4 linked regions of the Stegostoma tigrinum genome follow. The protein of the gene in region 3 binds, or shares a complex with, the protein of the main gene of each other region. Links are inferred from orthologs where the notes say so. Each region holds a gene or a part of one and is shown on either strand. Other genes may lie near its edges.

What was found.
Region 1: smc4 (region 3) and ncaph share a complex: the UniProt entries of both Homo sapiens proteins name them as parts of the condensin complex. The link is inferred for Stegostoma tigrinum from reciprocal best matches to the Homo sapiens genes SMC4 and NCAPH.
Region 2: the proteins of smc4 (region 3) and ncaph2 are in contact, whole or in part, in a cryo-EM structure (PDB 9F5W), measured with the Homo sapiens proteins. The link is inferred for Stegostoma tigrinum from reciprocal best matches to the Homo sapiens genes SMC4 and NCAPH2. Residues at the interface, in NP_001002800.1 of Homo sapiens: Ile100, Leu101, Gly102, Pro103, Ile112, Gly113, Pro114, Ser117, Gln1151, Met1152, Leu1155, Phe1227, Lys1228, Ser1231, Ile1232, Phe1235, Tyr1236, Glu1239, Gln1240, Asn1253, Asn1254, Phe1256, Glu1257, Arg1261, Gly1264, Ile1265, Tyr1266, Lys1267, Thr1268, Tyr1269; in NP_689512.2 of Homo sapiens: Arg494, Ile495, Trp498, Glu499, Thr501, Val502, Leu505, Leu506, Gln509, Glu510, His512, Phe547, Cys550, Arg551, Met553, Leu554, Leu557, Gln558, Ala560, Asn561, Tyr563, Val565, Glu566, Ile567, Gln569, Leu573, Glu574, Ala576, Val577, Asp578.
Region 4: smc4 (region 3) and ncapg share a complex: the UniProt entries of both Homo sapiens proteins name them as parts of the condensin complex. The link is inferred for Stegostoma tigrinum from reciprocal best matches to the Homo sapiens genes SMC4 and NCAPG.

What each region holds. Positions count from the first base shown.
Region 1 is NC_081393.1:10,353,505-10,360,925, forward strand, and holds the start of ncaph (condensin complex subunit 2), read right to left. Parts: upstream 3,002-7,421; 5' UTR 2,882-3,001; intron 1,297-2,881; 5' UTR 1,291-1,296; coding exon 1,073-1,290; intron 801-1,072; coding exon 713-800; intron 1-712. UniProt on the Homo sapiens protein: Regulatory subunit of the condensin complex, a complex required for conversion of interphase chromatin into mitotic-like condense chromosomes.
Region 2 is NC_081378.1:21,665,799-21,673,300, forward strand, and holds the start of ncaph2 (condensin-2 complex subunit H2), read right to left. Parts: upstream 3,013-7,502; 5' UTR 2,848-3,012; intron 2,403-2,847; exon of another isoform or gene 2,383-2,402; intron 2,270-2,382; exon of another isoform or gene 2,252-2,269; intron 1-2,251. Other genes in the region: lmf2a (lipase maturation factor 2a), read left to right, coding at 3,502-3,595. UniProt on the Homo sapiens protein: Regulatory subunit of the condensin-2 complex, a complex that seems to provide chromosomes with an additional level of organization and rigidity and in establishing mitotic chromosome architecture.
Region 3 is NC_081367.1:27,392,882-27,400,631, forward strand, and holds the start of smc4 (structural maintenance of chromosomes protein 4), read left to right. Parts: upstream 1-4,739; 5' UTR 4,740-4,855; intron 4,856-4,891; exon of another isoform or gene 4,892-4,999; intron 5,000-5,800; 5' UTR 5,801-5,808; coding exon 5,809-5,950; intron 5,951-7,411; coding exon 7,412-7,590; intron 7,591-7,750. Other genes in the region: ift80 (intraflagellar transport protein 80 homolog), read right to left, coding at 3,151-3,190. UniProt on the Homo sapiens protein: Central component of the condensin complex, a complex required for conversion of interphase chromatin into mitotic-like condense chromosomes.
Region 4 is NC_081354.1:83,712,164-83,719,659, reverse strand, and holds the start of ncapg (condensin complex subunit 3), read right to left. Parts: upstream 3,004-7,496; 5' UTR 2,891-3,003; intron 1,899-2,890; 5' UTR 1,883-1,898; coding exon 1,769-1,882; intron 1-1,768. UniProt on the Homo sapiens protein: Regulatory subunit of the condensin complex, a complex required for conversion of interphase chromatin into mitotic-like condense chromosomes.

The sequences.
Region 1 (7,421 bases), on a different chromosome or scaffold from region 3:
GAAACCACCTCTGACATCTGTCCTATATCTTTCACCCCTCAATTTAAAGCTATGCCCCCTTGTGCTCGCCATCACAATACTAGGAAAAAGGCTCTCCCTATCCACCCTTGACAGTCGTTGTATATGTGGTAATAACTAACTGAATCTTCTTTGGACTGCCTTCAATGCCAGTATATCTTTCTTGAGCTAAGGGACACAAAACTGTGTTCCAGCTGTGGTCTGACTCATGCCTTGCATATATAAGCACAATCTTGCTACCTTTATACTCTATTCCTTTTGCAGTAAAGAACACCAACATTCCATTTAACCATCCTGCCTGATCATATCTAAATCTGCCTGATGGATGCATTTCTAACTGCTCTGGTGTTACTGCCTCTATAATAGCCTCTAACATTTTCTCAATAACCTATAAATTTAACTGGCCTCAAGTTTTTTTTTGCCTCCATTTCTTCTTAAATAATGGCATTACGTTGGCAGTTTTCTAATTCTTTGAGACTTTTCCAGAATCAAAGGATTCTTAGAAGATTACTCCCCACACATCCACTATCTCTGTAGCTTCTTCCTTCAGTACCCAATGACACATTCCAGCAGGTCTATATTTGACGCAACGGTACAAGAAGCACGTGTCCATTCCAATTTTCAACAAATTTGACATTGTAAAGAAAAAACTGAGTCTGTTATGAATTCAGAACAACTGTCAACATCCACTTACATTTTCAGAACATAGTTTGATGCAGGTAGAATAGTGTTCAGATATCTGATTATTTGACAGTTTGGGTTCAAAGGATTGTGGGGTCCCCCTGCAACAATCAATGACAATCAGAATCAATTATTTTGAAGGTCAAAAGCAACTTGTCCACAGCTCAGCATTCAAACAAACCCAGAGTCAAGAATTCTGACACATCACACCAACAAAAGTAGCAACCTGTAATGTTAATTAGGAAGGCCTTTGGACAATACTCAGGGTTCAGAAGCAGCACAGAAGAAAAGCAGAAGCAGAGTTCACTCTGGAGCAATGATACACAAATACATGCTAAGTGACATGAGAATGAAACAGTGCAATGAAACCTACCTTTGCACTGGGGATACCAAAGGGCTCTCTGTGCCACTTAGTTGCAAGTCTGTCACTTTTGAGCGCCTTCTCTCTCTCCTTTCACGTTCATCATCATTTGCTGCAACATCCATTTTTACAGAGGACTTTAGAGTCTGAACAGCCTGTCGCTTCGTAGCTGGAGAAATAAACTTGTGGTCAGAAGACCCCACTTGAGAAACTGAGATCAAAGAATCCATTTTGCCCTGTGACAAACAAATACAACAAAAGACCATTCAAGCAAAAGAGCAATAAAAAGCTGTAGTCATGGAATCAATAGTTTCCACTTTTCCCCACATCTGTCTGACCTGTTCAAGACTTCATGATCTGTCTTGGGAAACCACGATCTGGCCTTCTCCTCCAAAATTCCAGTGTGCTTACGTAGATGGTTGAGCCATGAAAGCACATTTACCATTATTTCTCCTTCTAATGTATATTTAAATGGCTTTTAACATACCAACCTGACTCCTTCACATAGGAGTTCTGAGTAAGGGTCACCGGACACAAAACGTTAACTCTGATTTTTCCTTCACAGACGCTGCCAGACTTGCTGAGCTTTTCCAGTAACTTTGTTTTTGTTCCTGTTTTACAGCATCTGCAGATCTTCGGTTTGCTTTACAGCCATTCATGTCACCTTCAGCGTGCCTCATCCAGCCAAATAAACCACTTTAATCTCTTCACTCAAGTTTCACGCTCAGCTACTATGTGACCATCGAATCCCCACGGTGTGGGCACCGGCCCTTCGGCCCAAAAAGTCCACAGAGACCGCTGATCATCCCACCCAGACTCATTCCCCCTATTACCCACCTAATCGACGTATCCTTGAACACTGCAGGGATGAAAACCACCTAGCCTACACGTCTTTGGGCTGTAGGAAGAAAGCGGAGTACCCGGGGATAATGTGCAAACTCCACACAGACAGACGCCCGAGGGTGGAATTGAACCCGAGGCCCTGTCAGACAACAGAGAACCACTGAGCCACAGTGCCGCCTTAATTACTGCCATTACGGTGAAGCATTTTTGATCTACTTATCGTCGTCACGATTTTCATTCATCTATTATCTTTCGACAGTCGCAGACGTCTCTGCAACCGGAACCCCTGACGCCAAGCAACGCAGTTGCTAATAGGAACCTTAAGTGAACTGAGACCTGACTACAATGACAGGAATTGCTGGAAAAACTCAGCAGGTCGGACAGCATCTGTCGAAAGAATGTTTACAGTCCAGTGACCCTTCTTCAGAATCTCCAACCGTGTTGAAGGAGGATTACAGGACACCCAACTCTGATTTCTCTCTACGGATGCTGCCAGATCTGTTAAGTTTCTGCAGCAATTTGTGTTTTTGGTTCAACTTTCCCAACATTCGTAGTTCATGGCTTTATTTACGAGAATTTGGTAATTTGCTGCAATCAGGCAGAGCTATTTATCATTTCTTTCGTGGGTCTGTTGATTTGTGTAGGGATTGCCGCAGTATTGAACCAAGAACTTCTCAACGAAAGCAGGAAGGCGTGTCAGCCAGAACTTGGGGACACGGGCCAGCGCGATTGAATTTCCACAATCCCGGTCCAACTCAGCTTGGATTGACCGACCACTCACCCTGTCCGCCGGGTGTCGGTTGAAAACATTCACACCCACTCTGTTCAGATGTTAAAGGATGGCGTACGTGTATGTTTCCGAGAGATTTGGGTTGCGATTGCGGCCTAACTTTTTCCGCCCGCTCTAATGCAATAAGCGAACAATGAAAAAAAAACACAATCTCCAGGCCTCCTCAAATCGTCCTGGCTCGCACTGACCTGAGTGATCGAGATGTCCGAATTTCTTCAACGTCGCTGTATCCGACCCCGCGGTTGGAGAGGGAAGATGACGGCCGGGATCTCGCTCCGTTCTGCCGTTACTTCAATCGGAATTCAAACTTTCCCGCGGCTCGATAGTGCGCACGCGCGGCTCGCTGGGTGTTCCCGGGGATGCGACGCTCCGCGCACGCGCAACACGCCGGGAAAGGGGAGGTTGTCGCTCTGCGCACGCGCAGTGCCTTATGTGTATGCCCTCTTGCAACGAGTGGAGTGAACCGTCAGCCTTTTCGGAAAAACGGATTATCAGCAAAACTGACAGAAATCCGTGGACACACACCGAAGAGTGCCTTTGCCTGAATTTCTCCGATCTTCACAGTGTTCGTCTCATGATCATTCCTGAAAGATGACTGTGAACGAAGAAAGCCGTTCGGCCCCTCTTCAAACGTCACGTCAGACCTCACATTTCCAAGTGCAGTTGTTTCTTCAGTAATTCCAGAGGTTTCTTTGGCTGCGGGGGAAAAAAATCTCCAATGCCGCATCTGAGAATTCCAGGCCTTTTATCAAATACAATGTGAGAAGACTTTCCGGCCTGCAGCAAAAGCGAGAAAGTGATAGATGTGGATTAACCGTGGTTTTATTGACAGGCACAACAGACTTGTGCTTTGAATGCTCCTCAGTTTTTATTTGTCCTTTTATAAATTAGACTCTGGAGGTGACTGATCAATTTGCAACTTTTCTTTGCGCTTACTTCAGTGTATGAATGCTTCTCTCATGCCTCATTGATTGTATTGACCACACTGACAAAACTGGTACAGCACAATGTAATAAAATGTGAGGCTGGATGAACACAGCAGGCCAAGCAGCATCTCAGGAGCACAAAAGCTGACGTTTTGGGCCTAGACCCTTCATCAGAGTCTAGGCCTGAAACGTCAGCTTTTGTGCTCCTGAGATGCTGCTTGGCCTGCTGTGTTCATCCAGCCTCACATTTTATTATCTTGGATTCTCCAGCATCTGCAGTTCCCATTATCTCTGGTACAGCACAATGGTTTGGTCACAGGTTCTTTGACTGGTGTTAAAAACCAAAATAACTTGTGACAAGTTGACACATGGAGATTCATCAAGAAGACTAGAACCCATGGGATCCAGTGCAGTTTGACAAATTGGATTCAAAGGTTGGCTTCATGGCAGGAAGCTGAGGATGATGGTCAAGGCATGTTCTTGTGACTGGGGTGAGTCCAATGAGCAGAACAGTGACAAATGGGAATTGATTTAGAAAACAGTGAGCTGATGCATTTGGGGAAGACTGCTATGCCTCCGAGGTTCACACCATACTGTAGGACCGAAGGACATTCAGAGGCACCTTGTTTCCCTTATCCAAAGATCTTTGAATGCAACATGATAGGTGAACAAGATTGTGAAGAAGTCATATGGCATAATTACATCAAGAGCAAGGAGCTTGTTCTGGAGCTGTATATAACATTACAGAGGCTGCAGCTTGAGGACTGTATGCAGTCCTGTCGCACAGTATATAGGATGCATGTGATTGTTCTCAAGAGTACATTCACCAGGATGTTTGCTGGGTTCCAGTGTTTCAACAATGAAGAGAGACTAGATAGGCTTTACAGATAGTAGGAACTGCCGATGCTGGAGAATCCGACATAACATGGTGTGAGGCTGGATGAACACAGCAGGCCAAGTAGCATCAGAGGAGCAGGAAAGCTTGACATTTCAGGTCGGGACCCTTCTTCAAAAATTTCTGAAAGATCCCGACCTGAAATGTCAAGCTTTCCTGCTCCTCTGATGCTGCTTGGCCTGCTGTGTTCATCCAGCCTCACACCATGTTATCCCAGATAGGCTTAAGTTGCTTCCTTGACGTTTGAGAGGGTTGAGTCACATACTTGATTGAAATCTACAAAATTTGGAGGGACATAGGAAGTAACCTTTGTTTTTAGTAGAGAGGTCAGTAACCAGGAGGCAAAGATTCAAGGCAAGGAGCAGAAGCTATAGAGGGGATTCAAGGAAGAATTTTTTTTCTCACAGTGGGAGGTGGATATCCAGAACTCATTGCCTGAAAGGATGGTAGGAGTGGAAACTGTTGCAACATTGAAGAAGATTTTTGATGAACACTTGAAATGCCTTGGCAGACAAGCTGAGGGGGGAAGTGCTGTAAAATGGGCCTAGAGTAGATAGGTGATCAACATGACACAATGGGCCAAAGGGCCTCTTTCCATTAACTCACCATGACTTGGGGTGCCAGTGTTGGACTAGAGTGGATAAAGTCAGAAGTCACACAACACTAAGTTATAGACCAACAGGTTTATTTGAGATCACAGGCTTACAGGGCGCTGCTCCTTCGTCACGTTCGACTTCACCTGAAACAAGGAGCAGTGCTGAATAAGTTTGTGATTTCAAATTAACCTGTTGGACTATAACCAGATTTTGTGTGAATTCTGCCTTCATTGACTAGGAAACAAGAAAACAGGCCGTCTTAGACTGGGTATAATGTCATGAAAAATGCATACTTGGTCAAGCAGTTGTGAAAGACCTCTTCAGGATGAGCAACCCGTAATGAGCAACCGGGTTTTCTTATCACGACGGAGAGTGAGGTATTTGGTGCTAAGACTCAGGTCCTGAATTTTTAATGAGGGAAACTACAGTGGTAGGAGTTAACTTTGATTGATTGGGAAATGTTACTGCAAGGAGTGACAGAGGATAGACAGTGGCAAACATTCAAAGTGCAAATGGGAAAACAACAAAAACTTGTTTCTGTCTGGCACAAGAGTGCAAAAGAACACTGGCAACACCATGGTTTACAAGGGAAGTTAGAGATAGTATGAGTTGGGGGAAAAAAAAAGAAACATACAAATTGGCAAGAAAAATAAATCTCCTGGAGGATTGGGAATAGTTTAGAAGTTAACAAAGAAGGACCAAGGCATTGATTAAGAGGGGGAAGTAGAGTGAGAGTCAGCTTGTGGAAAACGGAAGAACTGACTGACAACGTTTCTGTAAAGAGAAAAAGATTAGTGAAAACTGATGTAGGTCACTTACAGTCAGAAACAGACGTTATTAAAATGGGGAACAAGAAATAGCTGATAAATTAAATTCACACTTCATTTATGTTGTCATAAAGGAGGACACAAATAATTTGGATTTAGTGAGAAGGAGGAACTAAAGTGAATCCCTATTAGTGGAGAAATAGTTTTGGAGAAATTGATGGAATTGAAGGCTGGTAAATCCTAAGGTCTGAGAATCTCTGTACCAGAGTATTTATGAAAGTAGCCTTCAAAATATCAGATGCATTGGCAGTCATCTTCCAAGATTTTTTTAACTGTGGAATAGTTCTTAGAGGTTGTAGAGTAGCCAATGTAACCCCACCTTTTGATAAGACAGAGGAACGTAACACAAATTTCTGGACCAGCGATTCTGACATTGTCATGGAGAAGGTGCAGAAGTCCATTGACAGTGAATTCATTGCAGAGCACTTGGAAATCACTCAATGTTCTTACTATCAAGGGAATGCAGTGAATATTGGCCAAACTGATTCTTGCAGTGGCAGGACTGACATAGGAGAAGAGATTGTGTTGGTTTGGATTCTATTAACTGGGGTTTGGAAGAATGGTGGGGTGGGGGGAATCTCATAGAAAATTTAAACAGAATTTGACAGATTAGATGCAGGAAGGATGTTGCCATTGGTGAGGGAGTCCAGAATCAGGAGTCATAGTTTAAAGATGAGAGTAAACCATTTTAGGAGTGAAATGAGGAAAATTTCTTTACTTGGAGACTGGTGAGCCTGTGGAATTCACAATGACGTTGAGTGGTTGAGGCCAAAACATTGTATATTTTCAAGGATTTCATGTTGCTCTTGTCCAAAGAAATTAAGGGATGTGGAGAGAAGGAGGGATCAGTCATGATCATATATATGACAGAGCAAGCTCGAGGGGTCAACTGGCCTCCCCCTGCTCCTATCTTCTATATTTCTGGCTTCTAAAACCCAATGACGTTCTATTGCTACTCGTAATGTGTGTGGACCTGTTGTACTTACTTAGAACCCCTACAGTGTGGAAACAGGCCCTTCAGCCCAACAAGTCCACACCCTCTGAGCATCGTGCTCAGACCTATCCCCCTAGAATCCACCTAATCTACACATCCCTGAACACTATGGGCGATTTAGTAAGGCCAATACACTTAGCCTGTACATCTTTGGACTATGGGAGAAAACTGGAGCACCTGGAGGAAACCCACACAGATGCAGGGAGAATGTGCACATTCCACAGAGACAGCCGCCCAAGGGTGAAATTGAACCCAGGCCTCTGTCGCTGTGAGGAAGCAGTGCTCACCACTGAGCCACTGTACCGCCCAAAACTAGCAAAGGAGATCGTGAGTTCCCTGACCGGGAATCGAACACAGGCCATAGCATTAGTGCACCAAATCCTGACCCCGAGACTACCTGACTTGGACATCAATTTCTTAAGTTTGCTCCTAAAGGTTAAATTTGTTCCGATATTACATCAGATGTAATTGGAGAAATTGAGAGAAATAT
Region 2 (7,502 bases), on a different chromosome or scaffold from region 3:
AAATAGGTCCATCTAGCGCAGTCAATTGTGTTGGTGTTTATCCTCTACATGAACAGCACTTTCATCTCCAATCATGGTTTCAGACGGAAACTCTGAAATCTAGGGATGCTTCATAAACTATTGCTATTTCCTTCCTTGGTGAATCGTGAAGACAGACTCCAGATAGTTGGTGGTAGTCGAGCAGTATCCAGGTATGGGTTCAAAACTCTGTCACATATGTTTAGAGTCAGAACACTTAGTCCCAACTTCCGTTATTATTGGTTCCTGGAGGCTTGGTATAAACAGTAAACTGAATGTGACAGCCACTGGCTCAGACATCATGGCTAACTGTGTCTCAGTAAGTGTCAGGATGGAAGTTATTTGCCCCTCACATTTAGGGTCTTTAGGTCACAGGCTCGGAGACAAGATCACAAACCACAAGCAAAATAACAAGTCATAATCTTCTTATTTTCTAGACTTCAGCCTCCTTGAATTCAAAAGAAAGTCTACCTCCACAATTAAAAAGCTAAATACAAATTCCTTGTCCTTTTTTGTCATGTTCATGTGGATGAACTGATATCATCCATTAGCAGACTTTTGAACAGACCTTTTATGTATTAAACTTGTTCTTTCTCTGCAACTTTTCTAAGCCTGTAACACTATATTCGTATTCTGTTCTAGCATTTGAATGTACTTTATGTAGGATATGATTTGCCTGTCTCACACACAAAACAATATATTTCACTGTATGTCATATGTGACAATAATAAATCAAATCAAATCAAATCCCACAACATCAGCAACAGACTGTAAACAATCTGTTTGCAAAACCTTTAAAAGAATTTTTAAACATCTCTTTAATTGGGCAAGATGTTCATTTAAAAGGAATACATAATCAAAGCATATAGGGAACAAAGCAAAAAGCCACTAATCATCGAACCAAGAAATCATTACTACAGAAAGAGCAACAAAAACATGGGTTGGAGGAAGAGGAGGCATGATTGGGAAAGAAGGGTTAAAAATAATGTTGTTATTTCAAAGCTTTAAAACACATCACACACTGTTTCATCTAGTCAACACTACCTCAGGCAGAGATCCTAACAGAAAAAATGAGAAATAATACATGGGGAAAACGCAGCTCGGTTCCAACCCTATTCCTGGAGTACAATAGTCAGTAATTTGCTACCAATGTCTGAGGCCATGAAATTACGGTTTATACAGCAAACAAAAAGTCTATTGGGAATTACTTTAATCACTTAAATAAGTCCTCATTATTGAGGCAATAGTGTCTCATCCAAGTACATTACTCAGATAATGATAATACAATAACAATTAAGGTTACACAACAGAATTAAATAAACTGATTATTGTGACATCAGTTTTTCTGACGTCCTGAATTCTGACCTTGAAGAGCTGTTCCACAGACATTCATATTAAGAGCAGGAGTAGGTGATTCAGCACCCTGTACCTGCTCCTATCTACCCCTACACCATTTGATTAATGGAGTCATACGGCTCTGAAACAGACCCTTCGGTCCTACTAGTCTGTGCTACCTAGACACCCTAATCTGGCCTGGACCCGTTTGTCAGCATTTAACCCATAACCCTCCAAACCATGCATTCACCCAATCAAATCCCTTTTAAATGTTGCAATTGTACACACCTCCACCACTTTCTCTAACAGCTTGTTGCATACACACTTTGCGTGAAGTGGTCACCCCTCAGATCCTTTTTAAAAATCAATGCTCTTTCAGCTTAAAACCTATGTCGTCTGGATTTGGACTCCCCCACCCTTGGAAAAAGACTTTGGCTATTCACCTAACTGGACCTCTAATGATTTGACAAACCTCTAAGAGGTTACCCCTCAGCCTTCAGTACTCCACCCTATTCAGCCTCTCCCTATAACTCAAACCTTACAGCCCAAGCGACATCCTTTTAAAAGAAGAGATAATGGGAACTGCAGATGCTGGAGAATCCAAGATAACAGAGTGTGAAGCTGGATGAACACAGCTGGCCAAGCAACATCTCAGGAGCACAGCCAAAACGTCAGCTTTTGTGCTCCTGAGATGCTGCTTGGCCTGCTGTGTTCATCCAGCTTCACACTTTGCTATCTCTGACATCCTTTTAAAACATCACTTTCTTTTCAGTCAAGAATATATTTAACACACCCTTAAAAATGTTCAATGACCATGCCTCCACTGCTCTTACAAATTAATGGCCTGCTCAGGAAAATAATTCTCATCAATCTCCATTTTAAATGGGAAACCTCTCACTTTAAAATTGTTTCCTAGTCCGAATCTCTCTCGTCCTGCCACCATTCATCCTGCCCATTGCCTTCAGTACCTTACATATTTTAACAATATACGCTCTAATTCTTCTGAACTCCAAGGTACACGAGCCCTACCTGCCCATATTTTCCTCATTTCAGAAATCAATCGATTCAACCTTCTCTGCGCTTCCAATACGATTACATTATTTCTTCAGGTGACCAAACTGTCTACGACACCTGGTTTCACCAAGGGCCGAACAACTATAATGACATTTCCCAACGTTTGCGCACCAAAGCCCTTTGCAATAAATAACAATGGTCCATTCCAATATATTTCACACGTTTTATTTTTCTGTTACATCATATTATTAAAGACAAGTTGATTTCTGTTGCCGCCAAGAAGTAAACCAGTAACTGCAGTAAACAGAAGTGGTTCAATCAGACACTGTAGGGAAGAAATTAGTAAATGATTGAAGTGGGCCGTTCTTCAAAACCAGAACACAAGAAACTGTAACGAACAAGAATACAATCACAGAAATCTGAAAGAAACTATATTTAACAAAAGGAGATTCGAACTGACACTGACAAGCCGAGACTCACCCCCCACCGAAGAACCGTATCTAGCTACGTTCCACATTTCTCAAGCACGATTATTATAAATCCAGTTCTCAAAATATTCCCCTATTTTCTCTGAATATTCCCTTCTTTTCTCTGATTGTTTTATTTTACCCGTTTTTAGGCCAGCGCCATTTTTTGTTTTTCCCGCGCAGGTACAAACCACAGAATGCGCATGCGCGCGACACGGACTCAATCATTAGTCTACTAGTAAGAGGCAAGAAAACAGAGTTTGAAAGAATTTCCATCACAATAAAACCAGATCGCTAAATTTTTAACGCGGGTTTAAATTTTAATTTGAAATTATTACTTTGTTTTGTTTTTTTTTCAGATGTTTAGAGATGATCTCCCCTTCTGCCATGATGGTACAGGCTGCAAATGCAGAAAGACGGTAACGATTAAGAGCAATCCATTCCGGGAACAGGGAATAGTAACTTTAGAAACTTCTTAAAGTAAAAAAAAACACCGTGGATAATCTGGTTATATATTTCAAAATGTGGTTATTATTTCAAAGCGCGACTCAGTCTGAGTTATATTGTGAGCTATTATAATGGAATCGTTATGGATCGAAGCTGTTGACCACCTCCCCCCCCCCCTTTGCGGTGATGAGAGTGGTTATGTCCAGGCCTGCAGCTCGGAATGGGGGAGATTGTGTTGTCGCGGGCAGCTTTCCTCTGGGGCACGAATGCTATTTACTTGTGTGCATTCACCTCGCTTTATGTACAGATCCCAGGTAATAGTGATGACACTGATATTCTGGGTTTTAAAAGCTCTGCCTCGGTGAAGAGTGTAGTCAGTTGGCGGGAGTTGGGTAAAGGAGCCTCATGGAGAAGGGAGAGGTGTGGTTAATGGAAGGAAACCGACTGAAGTGGAACACATCGTTTATTTCCAAAACAGCACCGTGTGAGTTAGCGTTGGCTGGCAGTTTGGAAAGAGTTGTTGCTGTTAATGTTGACAGAGTGCATTTTTGTGTTTATGAAGTGGTGCAGTTTAGACTTTGATCTGGGGACTCTGGTGTAGCAGAGCCACTCTATAGTTAACGGCAACACACTGCAGATGCTGTAAAGCTAAAACAAACACAGAATGCTGGAGAAACTCAGCAGATCTGGCAGCGTGTGGGGGGAGAGAGAGGGAGTTTGAAGTAACGTTTCGAGTTTGGTGCGAGTTTGCTTCAGATTGCATGGTTATTTTGGTGCGAGACTTGAATTGTGTGCTATGTATGGAGGGAATAATGTTTAGGAAATGACCATTGCAGTCAGTTCATTGAAACCATTCCATACTGTGAACCCTCCCCTATTGAGGTTCAAGAAGGCAGCTCAGCATCATTCCTAGTTACCCTGAAGATGATGGGCAATAAATGCTAGTCCGAACAGAAAAGCCACCACCCCATGACTTTTATTAAAGAAGAAACCTGCTAGGCGTTTTATTTCCATGTTTCTGAACATCGTGAGTGCTCTCTCTCTCTCTCTCCATCACATTTCTTTCCAGGGAAGCTTAAGCTTCCCAAGTAAAGACAAAGTGCTGAAGAAAACCAGGTGTGGCAGTACCTTGCAGAGAGTAATACAAAAACGTTGAGTCCAATGAGAGTCATGTTGGACAAGCAACATATTCTCTCTCATGGGATAACGAGGTGTACGGCTAGATGAACACAGCAGGCCAAGCATCTTCTATCTCTATCACTTCTGTCTGTAATTTTTTAACGCGTGTGCGTGTGTGGATTTGAAGTTTTCATTTGAATGCACAGTTTTTCCTGAATCATCTACCAGTGAGAACAACAGGCCAGCAGTCAGAATGTTGTGCTTCACCTGCAAGGGTGAAATTCTGAATCGTAGGATCAGTTGAACTCCATTCTGATAAGATGGCAGCTGTGATTGGAAGAGAGCTGTTTGCCAGTATGGGACTGTGATTGGGCTGTTTAGCTGAGGCTGTGTGCCGTTCCCATTAAGATGATGTCAGAAGGACTTTCAAAACATAACTATTGCAGATCCTAAAAGTAACATTTTTCTTTTTTCACATTGTCCACTCCCTTTCCTTGAATTTTTTGTCACTGGCCAATTTCAGGTGTGATAAAGGCTTTTAACATGGATATACAGCCAGGAAATTATATTGAAATCAGCAAGTCAGATGGTGAAACTCCTCAATATTTGTGGAAAGAGAAACGTTTGGAGTACAGTATTTTTTTTACAGCACAGTGTGGGCCGAAGGGCCTGTAATATTGTGCTGAACTTTTACCCTAATCCTAAGCTCTATCTAACTTGCACCCCTACCTTACACTATCATCCATATGCCCATCTAATAGCCACTTAAATGCCCCTAATGAGACCGACTCCACTACCCTGTCTGGCAATGCATTCTACTCCACTCACTTTGAAACTATGCCCCCTTGTAACAGCTACCTGCACCCTAGGAAAAAGTCTCTGGTTGTCCACTTTATCTATGCCTCTGATCATTTTGTATACCTCTATCAAGTCACCTCTCATCCGTCGTCGTTCTAAAGAGGAAAGCCCTGGCTCTCTCGGCCTTTTCTCCTAAGACCTTCCCTCCATTCCAGGCAACAACCTGGTAAATCTTCTCAGCACTTTTTCCAACGCTTCTGCATCTTTCCTGTACTGAGGCAACCAGAACTGGACGTAATATGCCAGATGTGGCCGAACCAAGCTTTTGTATAGCTGGACCATAACTTTGCAGCTCTTGAACTCGATCCCTCTCTTAATGAAAGCTAACACACCATATGCCTTCTTAACAACTGTATCCACCTGGGTCGCAGCTTTCAGGGAACTGCCAGCGTGAACCCCAAGATTCCTCTGCTCCTCCACACTACCAAGAATCTTTCCATTAACCCTTTTATTCTGCTTTCAAGTTTGTCCTTCCAAAAGAATCACCTCACACTTTTAAGGGTTAAACTCCATCTGCCACTTCTCAGCCTATCTCTGCATCCTATCAATGTCCCTTTGTAATCTTTGATTTGAAAATATTTACTCTGTTCCTGCAATGATGCTGCTGGATCTGCTCAGTTTCTCCAGCACTTTGTTTTTATTTCAGATTTCCTGCATCTTTAATATTTTGCTTTTACTTGAGATTGCATTGAACTTGCATAGTTTGGCCTCAGTTGGATTACTGTGACAGTTTCTGGTGTCACAGTTTAGAAAGAATGAGGTTGGTTAGCTCAGTTGGCTGGACAGCTGGCTTACAGTGCAGAGTGACCCCAGTAGCGTGGGTTCATTTGCACACAAGCAAGGTTAACATGAAGGCCCCAACTTGTCAACCTCTCTCATTGCCTGAGACATGTTGATCTTCAGGTTAAATTCGTTACCAGTCTTGTCTCTATCATGAGAGAGCAGTCCTGTGGTCCTCCAGGACAATGGCAGTTTAACTTTTCAGGAAGGATGTGAAGGCATTGTAGAGGGCTGAGACTTACAAGGTTAGTTCTAGGGAAATTAATTTTAGTCGTAAAGATACATTGAAGAAGTTGGGGCTCCTTCCTTTGGCCAAGAGAAGGATGAGAGGAGGTCTGATAAAGGCACTCAAAATTTAGATGTGTCTGAATAGAATTGATAGGAAGAAACTGTTTCTCCTGAAATGACCAAGAAATAAAAGGTATAGATTGAAGTAATTGTTCAGCCAAGAAAATTACGAGGAAAAGCTTTTGCACATAGTACAGTGTTAGGGCCTGGAATGGACTGGAGAGTGGTGGAGGAAGTTTGAAACAAGATATTCAAAAAGTGAGTTTTATTATTTTGCAAAGGAATGATGTGCAGGAGGTTTACACAGAACACTGGGAAATGTCACTAGGTAATATGATTGTTCAGAAACCATGCACATACACGAAATGACATTCTTCAGTGATCTTATCCTGAGACCAATGTTTCTACAGTTATTAACTTCACTGAATTTTTTTTGAGGAAGTAGCACAGCTGATTGATTTTGGATGCTTTTGACAAGCTTCTAATGCAAAGTAGCCACAAAAGTAAAAGTTGTGAGATGTGCTTTGGCAAAGACTGGAAACAGCTACTCAAGGATGAACCAGTGTCAGAACAATGAGAGGCATACATGAAGGAGACAGAATATTTGGCATAAATGTACTCCTGTAGAGATAAGGTTTAGGAGTTCCAAATACAGGCTTCCCTCAATGTGAAACAGCATGCAACAGCTAAGAACCAGTAACGCAGTAACTGAGGGATATGTAGAAAGGGCAGGAGCAAACCTAGACAGGACATTTGAAAAGCAAAATGAGAGAATCATCAAAGCTAGTTTGTCAATACATATAGTTTCACTGAAACACTTTTTTCCCAGAAATACATAAAGGCTATACAGATAGCCAAAAGTGTAGGGCCGTATAGAGACTAGAAAGGTATAATGTGTGTAGAGGCCAAAATCAAGGGTATGGTTCTTAATTAATAACTTGCATTCGCCTCCACAAAATAAAGGAAGTGATTTCATAGTTACAGAATATAAAATATTGAACAGAATAAACATAGAGAGGAAACTTTAAGAGCAGTGGAATCTTTGAAAGTCAGTAAATAACTGGGTCTGAATTATGTACATTATAGGCTGCTGGGAGAAGCAATTGAGAAAGTTAAGGTGGATCTGACTGCAATAATTCCAGTCTTTTTGGTTACAAATATAGGGCTGTCAAGGTT
Region 3 (7,750 bases):
AGGCTAACATTTCTTTAGCCTTTGTAACAAACATTTGCGCCCATCCACTAGATTTAAAGTTATTTCTGTACTTGGATATCAAAGTCTATCCAATCATCCAGATTTCTTAGCTTCTCACCATTATAAAACTATTCCAATATATGTGCCTTCAGGCAAAACAAATGGAAGGATTTTCTATTGTATGTTAAGTCCAAGCTGCATGACTTCAATTGACCCACATTTTGCCTATCCTAGTAATGTTTCGTAGCAACTTTTCATCCCATTTTACAGTCTGCTGTGCCACATAACTTAATGCTGTCAGCAAATTTGGATATACAGCTACCTATTCCTTCATCCAAGTACTATTACATAGCCAACACTAACAGTAGGATGCAATTACAACGTAACATGTTTACTTATACAGCCTACAACATAAATGTTGACATAGAAATTTACAATTAAAAACACCTTACCCCAATGTGGCAGAAACAAGATAATCAAAAGCTAGAGATAATGGGAAATGCAGATGCTGGAGAATCCGAGATAACAAAGTGTGGAGCTGGATGAACAAAGCAGGCCAAGCAGCATCTTCGGAGCACAAAAGCTAACGTTTCAGGCCCAGAACCTTCATCAGAAAAGGGGGATGGGGATACGGTTCTGAAATAAATAGGGAGAGGGGGAGGCGGATCGAAGATGGATAGAGGACAAGATAGGTGGAGAGGAGAGTATAGGTGGGGAGGGGATAGGTTAGTCTGTGAAGGACGGACAGGTCAAGTGGGTGGGATGAGGTTAGTAGGTAGGAAATGGAGGTGCGGCTTGAGGTGGGAGGAGGGAAAGGTGAGAGGAAGTACAGGTTAGGGAGGCAGGGATAAGCTGGGCTGGTTTTGGGATGCAGTGGGGGGAGGGGAGATTTTGAAGCTTGTGAAGTCCACATTGATGCCATTGGGCTGCAGGGTTACATTGATGACTGTATCGGTGCTGCCTCATGCTCCCAAAAGGAGCTCGAACAGTTCATCCACTTCAACACCTTCCACCCCAACCTCAAGTTCACGTGGACCATCTGCAACACATCCCTCACCTTCCTGGACCTCTCTGTCTCATCTCCGGAAACCACCTAGAAATCGATATCCATTTCAAACCCACCAACTCCTACAGCTACCTGGAATACACCTCCTCCCACCCACCTTCCTGTAAAAATTCTACTCCCTATTCCCAATTCCTTCGACTCCGCCACATCTGCTCCCAGGATGAGGCATTCCACTCCTGTACATCCCAGATGTTCTCGTTCTTCAAGGACCGCAACTTGTCCCCCACCCCCCACAGTGATCAAGAATGCCCTCAACCTTGTCTCCCACAACTCATCTCTCACATCCTGTCCCCACAATAACTGCCAAAAGAGAATCCCCCTCGTCCTCACATACCACCCCACCAACACACCATCCTCCGACACTTCCGCCATCTACAATCCATCCCTACCACCAAAGACATTTTTCCATCCGCACCTTTGTCTGCCTTCCGGAAAGACCACTTTTTCCGGGACTCCCTTGTCCGCTCCACACTCCCCTCCAACCCCACCACATCCGGCACTTTCCCCTGCAACCACAGGAAGTGCTACACTTGCCCCACATCTCCTCCCTCACCCACATCCCAAGCCCCAAGATGACTTTCCACATCAAGCAGATGTTCACCTGCACATCTGCCAATGTGGTATACTGCATCCGCTGTACCCATTATGCTTCTTCTACATTGGGGAAACCAAGCGGAGGCTTGGGGACCACTTTGCAGAACACCTACGCTCGGTTCACAATAAACAACTGCACCTCCCAGTCGCAAGCCATTTCAACTCCCCCTTGCATTCCTTAGATGACATGTCCATCCTGGGCCTCCTGCACTGCCATAATGATGCCACCCGAAGGTTGCAGGAACAGCAACTCGTATTCTGCTTGGGAACCCTGCAGCCCAATGGTATCAATGTGGACTTCACAAGCTTCAAAATCTCCCCTTCCGCCACTGCATCCCAAAACTAGCCCAGCTCGTCCCCACCTCCCTAACCTGTTCTTCCTCTCACCTATCCCCTCCTCCCACTTCAAGCCGCACTTCCATTTCCTACCTACCAACCTCATCCCACCCCCTTGACCTGTCCGTCCTTCCTGGACTGACATATCCCCTCCCTACCTCCCCACCTATCTCCTCCTCTATCCATCTTCGATCTGCCTCCCCCTCTCTCCCTATTTATTTCAGAATCCGCTCCCAATCCCCCTTTTCTGATGAAGGGTCTAGGCCCGAAACGTCAGCTTTTGTGCTCCTAAGATGCTGCTTGGCCTGCTGTGTTCATCCAGCTCCACACCTCTTTATTTGAAAGCTAGGATTTGCAGACGTGAAGTAGATTCTTAACATTTCACAAAAATTATAGTAGACTTTAAAGTAGGTCAATAAAGGAGAACCAGGGAATTTTGGATCTGAATAGAAATTCATTAAAAATTAATTTAGGATTGTTGTCAGTTATTTTTGTTTTACTTCAAACTGCAATAAATTACCATAAAAATCAAAACATTCAGGGCATCCAAAATATAATTAGATATGATTAATATGGAGTTGCTATCATGCTTGAAGTGAGCTTTAACAGAATGATTAGTGGTGTCTAATCTCTGAAAAAAAATTATGTAACAGCTATCAGAGTGACTGTTTTGTTCAAACTCCATTCTGTTTATTAAGGTGACCAGTGAATATCCAGAGTTGGCTGATAAATAACTAATTTCATGATAACCAAAGTAAAATTACATTAATCAGATTACCTCTTACACAGCAGATCCCCACGTTTTTAACTTCCTGTATTCTTGGCACTGTTCACTACAATATGCCTCATTCCTCTATAAACCATTTAGACAGGACTAGAACACAGTTGAGATGGATAATTTATTATAATGTTTTATTTATTTAAATAATGGAAACAAGGAAACAATATGTTCTATTTTGTTTCTAGTTACGGTAATTTTTAAAAAAATCTGAGACATGCAAATGACAAAAATGATAAATCTAAACCTACCCTGCCAACAGGCTGGATTTACTAATACTAATTTAAAGCTATACATTCTTCCAATTAATTTTTTTCTTTTATTTGTAACTTAATGCTCATTACAAAAGTTTAAAAAAATGAATTCATTGAAAGGATATGTTTCGGTTCCTTCAACAGCGATGTCTTCAGCCTCATTCTTTAGAAATTGAATTGGACACAATGATTAAATCAACTCCAGTAACAGAGGTCAACTCCACTAACTGCAACGTCTTCAGTGGCTGCCAAATTGACAAGAATGTTACCAGTTGCACATCATTGTTGAATATTAACACATTTTCAGTTTCAAATTAATTTTTATCAAACAGTCAAAAATGACCATTGGAAAGTGAATCCATTTTTACACAAATTAAAAGTGTACATAGCTACACAAATTGAGTATACACAGCATTACAATTATGTGACTATTTTCTTAGTATAACCCATTATAGCAAAAATATAAATTTGACATGGAATAATATTGCAGTAATATTTGGACGGAAGTATCAAACTCTAAGCAAGTTGCTTCTGTGCACATCATGAAATTTCTTCAAAATCTTACAAATCAACGTTTTAATTAATCTGTATGCCACAACAACAAACCTTGGTACTCTAATTTAGCACTTGTGCAAAATTTAGACAACATGCCAATATCAGTTACTCCCAAAACCTCATACCCGCAAAATTCAAACAGTGAGAAAACGCAAACACAGTAGAACTGAAAGCCCATTTTTTGAGATGCATTTCCTTGGTACATGTCACACAATCCGGACACCGCCAGCCATATAGAAAGTTATCAATACTGCCAGATTGTACCTATTTGGAAGTACGAATCCCCATTTTGGTCGAAACATTGCGAACCATCTTGATGCATTCTACAGTTGTAAATACAAACAAGTTCCAAATGTTCAACATGGTATTTCGAGCGATCATAAACAAACACTCCCTGACACTTCTGAACTGTCCACTGATGGATGGCAAGATTGAACCGAATAGGCCAAATGGGTTCGCTCACACAATACAACACATCAGTTGGCAACAAAAACCGAAAGAACTGCGGATGCTGTAAATCCGGAACAAAAACAAAGTTGGTGGAAAAGCTCAGCAGGTCTGGCAGCATCTGTGAAGGAAAAAACGAAGTTAACGTTTCGGGTCTGGTGGCCCTTGCTCAGAGGAAGGGTCACCGGGCCCGAAACGTGAACTTTTTTTTTCTCCTTCACATATGCTGCTGAGCTTTCCCAGCAACTTTGTTTTTATATATCACTTAGCAACAATATTTGCCCTATTATCAGCAGGAGCAGCAATGGGCCAGGATGTCATTTCATCTCAAACCCACAATCTATAAAGTCTGGTCCTGACGTAACCCTTTTACACATAAAACGATCGAGTGTTACACACACGTTTTTTTAAAAAAAAATGGACTGTACCAATTGACAAGCAAAGCCCACCGCTTTTACCTCGGCAATCTAAAGGAAGTCCCAGACCTCAGCAATTCGCTCAGAATCCGCTCCCCTACTTCAGTTAGGCTCCAAACAGACTACAGTCTCGCGGCGCCTCGCGAGACCGCCGCTCGCCGCTTCTTGGCAACCAACACGGCAACCGCGGCGAAAAAAGCAAACAGCTTATACTTTTTAATTTGATAATTACCAGCCCGTCGGTCTTCCTCCAAGACAACCAGCCTTGCCGCGAAATTAAATATTTATTTTGATTTTTAAAAATTTGGCATCAACCCCATTTTTTCAAACCGGCTTACCCACAATGCTTTGTCCCTCAACGAATTTCAGTCAAGTTTAGTTTTCGGCGCCATTTTCGACTGGGTCCGAGGTAAGCGCTTGAATTTTTCTCGAATTTATTCCTTTATTTTTTAATTTCCCCGTGCGAAAGTGGTCCCAAAATATTCCTAATATTTTTAAAAAAAAATAACAATCATTCGGCGCCGGAAAATCGAGTTTCGGAGTGATTTCCAAGGTATTGATGTAGTGGAAATGAAATCTGTTTTTAGCGGGATGAGATGCATGACAAATTTGTAAACATGTTGTTTCAGGGAAGTGGTTGCTATCTGCATTTTTTTAAAAAGCCCGGTTCCATTTATTGCATTGAACTAAACTTTTGAGAAATATGAACTGTCGAGTTCGTTAAATAATTACGATTGTTATCTCAGTCAGAATTTTAAATATTTTTCATTTTAGAATAGTTTTTTCTCCGATTCTTCCCTCCCCCCCCCCACCGCATTTTAGCTTTTGATTATTTTACTTGTTGGTGTGTTCTGTAAACTCAAACTACTTCATTTAAGCCATCGAACTAATATTAGACACAATTCATGTCAAATTTTGTTTTTTTTTAAAAAGTCTGTTCGTGCGCCTATTTAAGCTTAGTGACGTAGACTGCCTCAAATACACGTCGTTATATACAGCTTTTTTCATTTGATCAAATTGTTCCATTTTGAGTAAACGTTGTGTCCTTTCTAGTGAGATTTGTCTTTTATGTAATCTATACGGTTGACTTTTTAAATACAGTTTTTGTAACGTCATGATGTGGCGTTGGATTACAGTAAAGTACAGTAACTTTTCCTAATCTGGGTAGGGTTGCGGTAAATTTGGAATTAATGGGTTTTTTTTCAGGAGGTACTTTTTTTAGCCGAACTTTGATTTTTGTTTCAAAGCTTTTCTAAAGATATGGGCGTTGTGGGAATGAAAGGAATTGAATGGCAATGAAGGGATAACTACGTTTGCCTTGAGTTTTTTTTTGTTATAATAATTGCTGAACTAGGTTAAACCATGCCTGCCAAAACGAAGTCTTCTACAGCAAAGCAAAGCGCAAAACTGGGTCCGGGGGGAACTGAGCCCCTGGATGAGTTTGACAACGAAATGGATATCCAACAAAAGGCAACTGCATCAAATGTAGATGAAACTACAAGAGGTAATTTTTTCTTTGTCCGTGTATGGTTAATTTTATTTGTATTTTAAAATTTGTATTGTTAAAAATGAACGCATTTCATTTCTTGTATCTTTTTAATAAATTGAAGCTGTGATAATCGCTGCCGTTTAGTTCGTTTTGAAATTGGATTTAGCCGCCTAAAGTATGGCTAAACAGGTTGCCGATTCCATTGCCTATACGCCGAAATTGTTTTTGTAATCATTTTGCAAAAGTACTTCATGTGTTTTACCTTGGAGTTAACGGGTGTAGTTCCATTCAGACATGGGAGGAAAGCAGCCAACATTAACTAAACTTGTCAAGATCGTATTTGAACTCCGTAAGCTTCAATGACAATTGCAACGGATTACTTGTACCTAGAAAGTTGGTGCAGTAGATTTTTTTTAACCGGTTTTCAGCATAGGCTTGTAATAACTAGTGTTTACCCTGAAAGAAATATGTCCAGTCGTGTAATGGTTTACTTTTTTTCTTTGACAGTTTTTTTTTGCCCCTGACGCTGCAGCGCAATGGGGTTTGAGTTTTCTTTTCATTGTGTTCCCTTTTTTCCTTTGCGCGTTTTTGTACAGTACGTGAATTGTGGGGGGAGGGGTTGAGTTTCTGTAGCCTGGAGTACAAAACTGCTTTCGGAAGCTGCTGAAGATGTAAGAGATTTTAACCGAGAATTGATAAGACGTGTGATTTATATCTAATTACTTTCGTTTTTTACAAAAAAACGTGCGTCAGAAATTTAATAAAATTAGTCTTTTTCCGTTTTGTTGCTGCAGCAACTCCAAAACCAAGTATTTGGCAGGCGTACAAAACGCAATAGCAGCATTAAACTAGTGCAAGTTGAATACTTACTAGCCATTACTGCCGTACAGTACTTTTATGATCACTTTTTTCATGAATGCAAATTAAGTTCCTGAAATGTGATCTGTGGCAGTGTTTCACAGAGCATCCATATGATCTTGCATTGTAAATTAAAATATGTTATTGCGGCAGACTCTTCTCACAAGCATTGTTTTAAACATACACTTCAATTTATTAAATTAAACATAGTGCACTTCATTGTTCATATGTGTTGCCCATGATTATAAATATTGATTTTTTTTCATCAAGAATGGTGCATGAATAATTTAAAGAAAAATATAAATATTTGTCTGGAACTGTTTTGATCTATTAAAACAAGCCTGGGAACAAAATGTTTCTGATGGTCTTAATTTTTGTGGAACGTTGTTTTGTAATTGGACAATTTTGAGGTCATTTTGAACAGTTATGCATAACATTTTTGTGTATTAATGGTAATACCAAGTGGTATCTAACTTTTTTTAAACATCAAATGTGTGAAATGAATTGACTTTTTATAAATATTTGTGGTACAAAACTCTTGTTACATGAAATACTAAACATTATGCCTTGGTAGGATAGTGTTTAATTTGTTTTGTCTCTGTTTATATGTTGTCTCAGAATTACCAGTTGAACCAATAGATAATCGAAGCTTGGAAGAAATTTTGGCTGGCATATCTCCTCCTCCACCCCCAGCAATGACTAATGAACCCGGAGCTCCTCGACTCATGATAACTCACATAGTGAACCAGAATTTCAAGTCATATGCAGGAGAACAAATCCTGGGTCCTTTTCACAAGGTAACAGTTCACAAAAATTATACTGTTATCTAAATTCACTTTAAAAATTATGCTGTACTTAAATTCAAATCCAAAGTAATTTTTTAAAAATCAAATCGAAACATTTTGGGTGGAGATGTGAAACTGAGAAAATGCCTGGTCAGTTCCCTTAATTATAAAA
Region 4 (7,496 bases), on a different chromosome or scaffold from region 3:
CACAGCAGGCCAAGCAGCATCTTAGGAGCACAAAAGCTGATGTTTCAGGCCGAGAATCATCATCAGAAAAGGGAGATGGGGAGAAGGTTCTGAAATAAATAGGGAGAAAGGGGGAGGCGGATCGAAGATGGATAGAGAAGATAGGTGGAGAGCAGACAGACAAGTTAAAGGGTCGAGGATGGAGCCTGTAGAGGTGTGTGTAGGTGGGGAGGGGATAGGTCAGTCCAGGGAGGACGTACAGGTCAAGCAGTCAAGGGGGCGGGATGACGTTAGTAGGTAGAAAATGGAGGTGCAGCTTGAGGTGGGAGGAAGGGATACGAGAGAGGAAGAACAGGTTAGGGAGGCAGGGATGAGCTGGGCTGGTTTTGGGATGCAATGGAGGGAGGGGAGATTTTGAAGCTTGTAAAATCCACTTGATACCATTGGGCCTCAGGGTTCCCAAGCGGAATATGAGTTGCTGTTCCTGCACCCTTTGGGTGGCATCGTTGTGGCACTGCAGGAGGCCCAGGATGGACATGTCATCTAAGGAATGGGAGGGGGCGTTGAAATGGTTCACGATTGGTAGGTGCAGTTGTTTATTGCCAACCGAGCGTAGATGTTCTGCAAAGCGGTCCCCAAGCCTCTACTTGGTTTCCCCGATGCAGAGGGAGCCACAACAGGTACAGCAGATGCAGTATACCACATTGGCAGATGTGCAGGTGAACTCTGCTTGATGTGGGAAGTCTTCTTGGGGCCTGGGATGGGGGTAAGGGAGGAGGTGTCGGGACAAATGTAGCAGTTCCTGTGGTTTCAGGGGAAAGTGCCAGGTGTGGAGGAGGTCGAGGGGAGTGTGGAGCGGACAAGGAAGTCACGGAGAGAATGGTCCCTCCAGAAAGCAGACAAGGGTGGGGAGGGAAAAATGTCTTTGGTGGTGGGGTCGGGTTGTAGATGGCGGAAGTGTCGGAGGATGATGCATTCACCTGTGCATCTGCCAATGTGGTATACTGCATCCGCTGTACCGGTTGTGGCCTCCTCTACGTCGCGGAAACCAAGCGGAGGCTTGGGGACTGTTTTGCAGAGCATCTACACTCGGTTCACAATAAACAGCCCAGTCGCGAACGATTTCAATGCCCTCTCCCATTCCTTAGACAACTTGTCCACCCTGGGCCTCCTGCAGTGCCACAACGATGCCTCCCAAAGGGTGCAGGAACAGCAACTCATATTCTGCTTGGGAACCTTGCAGCCCAATAGTATCAATGTGGATTTCACAAGCTTCAAAATCTCCCCTCCCTCCACTGCATCCCAAAACCAGTCCAGCTTGTTCCCACCTCCCTAACCTGTTCTTCCTCTCACCTACCTCTCCTGCCACCTCAAGCCACACCTCCATTTCCTACCTACTAACCTCATCCCACTCCCTAGACCTGTCTGTCCTCCCCAGACTGACATACCCACTCCCCACTGACACTCACCTCTACAGGCTCCACCCCACCCCTTTAACTTGTCTGTCTGCTCTCCACCTATTTTCTCCTCTATCCATCTTCGATCCGCACCCCCCCTCCCTATTTATTTCAGAACACTCTCCCCATCTCCCTTTTCTGATGAAGGCTAGGCCCGAAACGTCAGCTTTTGTGCTCCTAAGATGCTGCTTGGCCTGCTGTGTTCATCCAGATCCACACTTTGTTATCGCGGATTCTCCAGCATCTGCAGTTCCCATTATCTCTGATACAATTTCTGGTAAGGAAATTTGATATACTGCAGTCTTGTCTAAATACTATGCAATTCACTGTACCTGATTGTATATTTGTTTAAGACCTGCCACCAACTTTGCAAGATTTTGATGTCCTTTCTGGGCCTTTTCAAAGGCTTGTTGTATTTGGAGCATTTGATTTTTTTGTGTACCCATTTATATGGAAAAAAATCTGAAACAGACAATATAAATTTAATGAATCATAAATTACTGTCCAACAGGATCTTTCAAAGCAGTTATAATTCCAACGGTTAAAAAGTTTTGTTCAGTTGTGAATATGAAGAATCATAGAATCCCTACAGCACGGAAGCTGGTTATTCTGTCCATCGAGTCCACACCGACTCTCCGAAGGGGATCCCATTTGGACCTGTCCCATCCTACCCCATTGTTGTAACTCTGCATTTCCCTTGCTTATTCTACCTCACCTACATATCCCCCAGACACTATGGGCAATTTAGCATGGCTATTTCGCTTAACCTGGACATCATTGGACTGTGGGAGGAAACCCACACAGACACAGGGAGAATCTGCAAACTCCACACAAAACCCAGGTCCCTGGAGCTGTGACACAGCAGTGCTAACCACTGAGCCACCATGCCGCTCCACGGGACAAATGTCCCCACCAGTCCTGTGTGAGATAAGCATTGAGGATTTGTGCAATTTAGAAAAAGTATTAACTAGGAGCAACTTTGAATCAAACAGCAGATCTTCCAACTACTAGTGAAGTGACAACGTATGGCATCAGATTGGAATGGACGGCCCAACAGTTGGAGATGTCCTAGTCAGTGTTGCTACTGTGAAGATAGGCTTGCTCCAAGTTTTCAAAGCATCACTGTGATGAGTCACGAAGGCAGGGATGTGAGTCATAAATTCCTATAAGATCTTCAGTGATCCTCCTCACTGAAGCCAGACAGAAAACACAAGACCTAGGACTAAAAATATCCTGCCTAATCTTTGACACTGATGATCACTCATCCCACCACCCAACCCTGTCGGAACTACATCTGCCCAATCGCCCCCAACCCCACCTCAGACTCACCTTCGGTTCCCCATTCCCGCCTGCCCACACCTCCCCGCCACCGACAGCCCTCACCCCCCTCCCCATCCCATCAACTACTCCCCAGCCTCAGCCTTCCCCGATAATCCCCGCCCCCGCGGTCTCACCTCTCTAGCTGTCTATGATTCTCTCGAGTCCGCTCTGCCACAAAGCAGCCCCCTTTTTGTTTACCCGCTCTCAGCGCGAACCGCCAACAACAACCGCCAGAAATTTCAAACTGCCTCTCGCGAGATGGTGATCTAAGCGCAGGCACCGCAGGGGGCGGGCCTGGCGGGTCTCCCGATGCCGGGGCGTGGCTATGAGGGGGGTGTGGCTATGAACGGGCGGGCTTAGTGGGGATATTTATCCTTCCAGCGTCTGCCGTAGTTCAATGTGATTGTGGCTCGATCCATGGTCTAATTTGGGATGTCTGTTGCTGTTTATTCGGAGACACTTCCAAATGGAGACAACTCCTAGCCAGTTAACATATTTAGATCACTATGAATGTACTGTTTCCCTCAATCGGAAAAGATTAAAGTCATTTTACTCAATGAAGTTTTGAGCAATGCTTAACAAAATTGAGGACTTAGACAAGAAAACAAAAGCACAACTCACTATTTATTCATCAGTAGTTATTAATGAGCACCAAGAAAGTGTAGTTTTTATTTTCACAAGTAGCTACACAATTTTTTTAATAGAGATATCAGCCATGTTTATGGATATAATGGAATTTTTGGTCGATTAGAAAAAAACGAATCTGCTACTATGGATTGCATACGGATCGATGTTCCCATCACCATCTTGTTTTTATATGTTAGCCATGGAGAAGCTGGTACCACTCTACCCATAAGGTTCTGGCTTCAGCACAAAAATGAAGGCTGACAGTCTAGTGCAGCACTGAAGGAGCACTTCAGTGTTGGAGGCACCATCTTCCAGATGAAATCTTAACTCAAGGTCCCATCTTCCCGCATGTACAGTAAAGGGTCCCATGGCATTATTTCAAAGAAAAGCAGAAGAACTATCTGTGGAGTTCTGGCCCTCATTTAAGCACCAACCAACATCACAAAGAGAAGTTCAGCACAAACTGGAAGAGCAAAGTTTCATTTTCTTCTCATTCCCTTTGGCCCAACAAGTTCACACTGACCCTCAGAGACCACCCAGACCCATCCCTGTACAACCCACCTGATCTACACATCCCTGAACACGATGGGAAATTTAGCATGGCCAATCCACCTAGCCTGCACATCTTTAGACTGTGGGAGAAAACCAGAGCACCTGGAGGAAACCATGCACCATGGGGAAAATGTGCAAACTCCACACACAGTTGCCCAAGCATGGAATTGAACCTGGGTCCCTGGTACTGTGAGGCAGCTGTGCTAACCACCAAGCCACCATGCCGCCCCCCTTCCGTGCTTGATATAAAAATGTTCAATAATTTTAGGGCCTGAACACCTACTTCCGTGTTCTTCACTGAACTCCCCAAAATAGCAGGCTTTATTAACACATGGGCTGCTGCCACAACCAACCCATTGTCAGCTATTAATAGTCCCATTAGCAGCCAAGGATTCTCCCAGGCTGGCCATTTGCCCATTCCTTTTTCTGCCCAATTGCTATTCTCTCTCTCTCTGGACTCCATCTCCATCTATCATTTCTTCCTATCCCCATTCCACCTTCCACTTTTATGCCAACCTTTTCCTAACTTCAATCAGTTCTGAAGCAGGGTTACTGGATCCAAAACATTAACTCTGCTTTTTCTCCACAGATGTCAGATCTTCTGAGTTCCTCCAGCATTTTCTGTTTTTGTCACAAAAAGAAGACTAGCTGGTTATTATCACATTACTGTTTGTGAATTCATTATGTGTAACCTGGCTGCTATATTTACTACATTATAGCAGCAACTATAATTCAAAATAATTCAGATTTTGACATGTCAATGGACATGAAGTGCTAAAATAATTGAAAGTCTTTTTTTCCCTTTTGTCCATGCAGCCAATGTTACCATATCCCCTACAAACTCTAATGCACTTCTCACTGATTATTTCCCAGCTAATTTTGGATCATTTGCAAATTAGAATGTTATAAAATCAGCCCATCATCTTAAGTTATTAATATAGACTGTGAACAGCTAAGTTTCAAATACAGATCCTTGCATTTCACAACTGGTTATAGCCTGTCAGCTCAAAAATATCTTGTTTATTCATATCTTGTTTGCAACAGCAGTAGACTCGCCAAGTTTAAGGGCATTTATATGGTCATTGGATAAACATTCCACACCCTCACTACTCCCTGAGTAAAGAACCCAACTCTGACATCTATCCTATGTCTATCACCGCTCAACTTAAAGCTATGTCCCCTTGTGCTAGCCATCCGAGGAAAAAGGCTCTCACTATCCACCCTATCTAATCCTCTGATCATCTTGTATGTCTCTATTAGGTCACCTCTTAACCTTCTTCTCTCTAACGAAAAATGCCTCAAGTCCCTCAGCATTTCCTCATAAGACCTTCCCTCCATACCAGGCAACATCCTGGTAAATCTCCTCTGCACCCTTTCCAATGCTTCCACATCCTTCCTATAAAGCGGCGACCAGAACAGTACGCAATACTCCAAGTGTGGCCACATCAGAATTTTGTACAGCTGCAACATGACCTCTTGACTCCGAAACTCAATCCCGCTACCAAAAAAACCTAACACACCGTATGCCTTCTTAACAACCCTACCCTATCAACCTGGGTGGACCCTTTCAGGGATCTATGCACAGGGACACAGAGATCTCTCTGCTCATCCACACTACCAAGCGTCTTATCATTAGCCCAGTACTCTGTATTCCTGTTACTCCTTCCAAAGTGAATTACCTCACACCTTTCCGCATTAAACTCCATTTGCCACCTCTCAGCCCAGTTCTGCAGCTTAGCTATGTCGCTCTGTAACCTGCAACATCCTTCCGCACTATCCACAACTCCACCGACTTTAATTTCATCCACAAATTTACTAACCCATCCTTCTACGCCCTCTGACAAATAGCAGTGGCCCCAAAACAGATCCTAGCGGTACACCACTAGTAACTGAACTCCAGGAGGAACATTTCCTATCAACCACCACCGTTTGCCTTCTTACAGCTTGCCAATTTCTGATCCAAACTGCTAAATCACCCTCAATCCCATGCCTCCATATTTTCTGCAATAGCCTACCATGGGGAACATTATCAAATGCTTTACTGAAATCCATATACACCACATCAACTGCTTTACCCTCATCCACCTGTTTGGTCGCCTTCTCAAAGAACCCAATAAGGTTTAGACCATAAGACATAGGAGTGGAAGTAAGGCCATTCGGACCATCAAGTCCACTCCACCATTTAAATCATGGCTGATGGGCATTTCAACTCCACTTCCCTGCACTCTCCCCGTAGACCTTGATTCCTTCTGAGATCAAGAATTTGTCAATCTCTGCCTTGAAGGCATCCAACGTACCGGACTCCACCGCACTCCATGACAATGAATTCCACAAGCCCACCACTCTGTGGCTGAAGAAATGTCTCCTCATTTCCATTTCAAATTTACCCCCACTAATTTTAAGGCTGTGCCCACGGGTCCTAGTCTCCCCGCCTAACGGAAACAACTTCCTAGCGTCCACCCCTTCTAAACCATACATTATCTTGTAAGTTTCTATTAGATCTCCCCTCAACCTTCTAAACTCTAATGAGTACAATCCCAGGATCCTTAGCTGTTCATCATACGTTAAACCTACCATTTCAGGGATCATCCATGTGAATCTCCGCTGAACACGCTCCAGGACTAGTATGTCCTTCCTGAGGTGTGGGGCCCAAAATTGGACACTGTATTCTAAATGGAGCCTAGCTAGAGCTTTATAAAGCCTCAGTAGCACATCACTGCTTTTATATCAGAGGTAATAGGAACTGCTGATGCTGGAGAATCCAAGACAACAAAGTGTGAAGCTGGATGAACACAGCAGGCCAAGCAGCATCTCAGGAGCACAACAGCTGATGTTTCGGGCCTAGATCCTTCATCAGAGAGGGGGATGGAATCTGGGTTCTGGAATAAATAGGGAGCGAGGGGGAGGCGGACCGAAGATGGAGAGAAAAGAAGATAGGTGGAGAGGAGAGTATAGGTGGGGAGGTAGGGAGGGGATAGGTCAGTCCAGGGAAGACGGACAGATCAAGGAGGTGGGATGAGGTTAGTAGGTAGGAAATGGAGATGTGGCTTGGGGTGGGAGGAAGGGATGGGTGAGAGGAAGAACAGGTTAGGCAGGCAGAGACAGGCTGGGCTGGTTTTGGGATGCGGTGGGGGAAGGGGAGATTTGGTTTTATATTCCAACCCTCTTGAGCAAACAACATTACATTCGCTTTCTTAATTACGGACTCTACCTGCAAGTTAACCTTTAGAGAATCCTGGACCAACACTCCCAGATCCCTTTGTACTTCCGCTTTGCAAATTTTCTCACCATTTAGAAAATAGTCCATGCCTGTATTCCTTTTTCCAAAGTGCAAAACCTCACATTTACTCAAATTGAATTTCATCAGCCATTTCCTGGACCACTCTCCTAAACTATCTAAATCTTTCTGCAGCTTCCCCACCTCCTCAGTATGACCTGCCTGTCCATCTATCTTTGTATCATCGGCAAACTTCACCAGAATGCCGCCAGAGCCTTCTTCCAGATCATTAATATATAAGGTGAACAGCTGTGGCCCCAACACTTAACCCTGCAGGACACGAC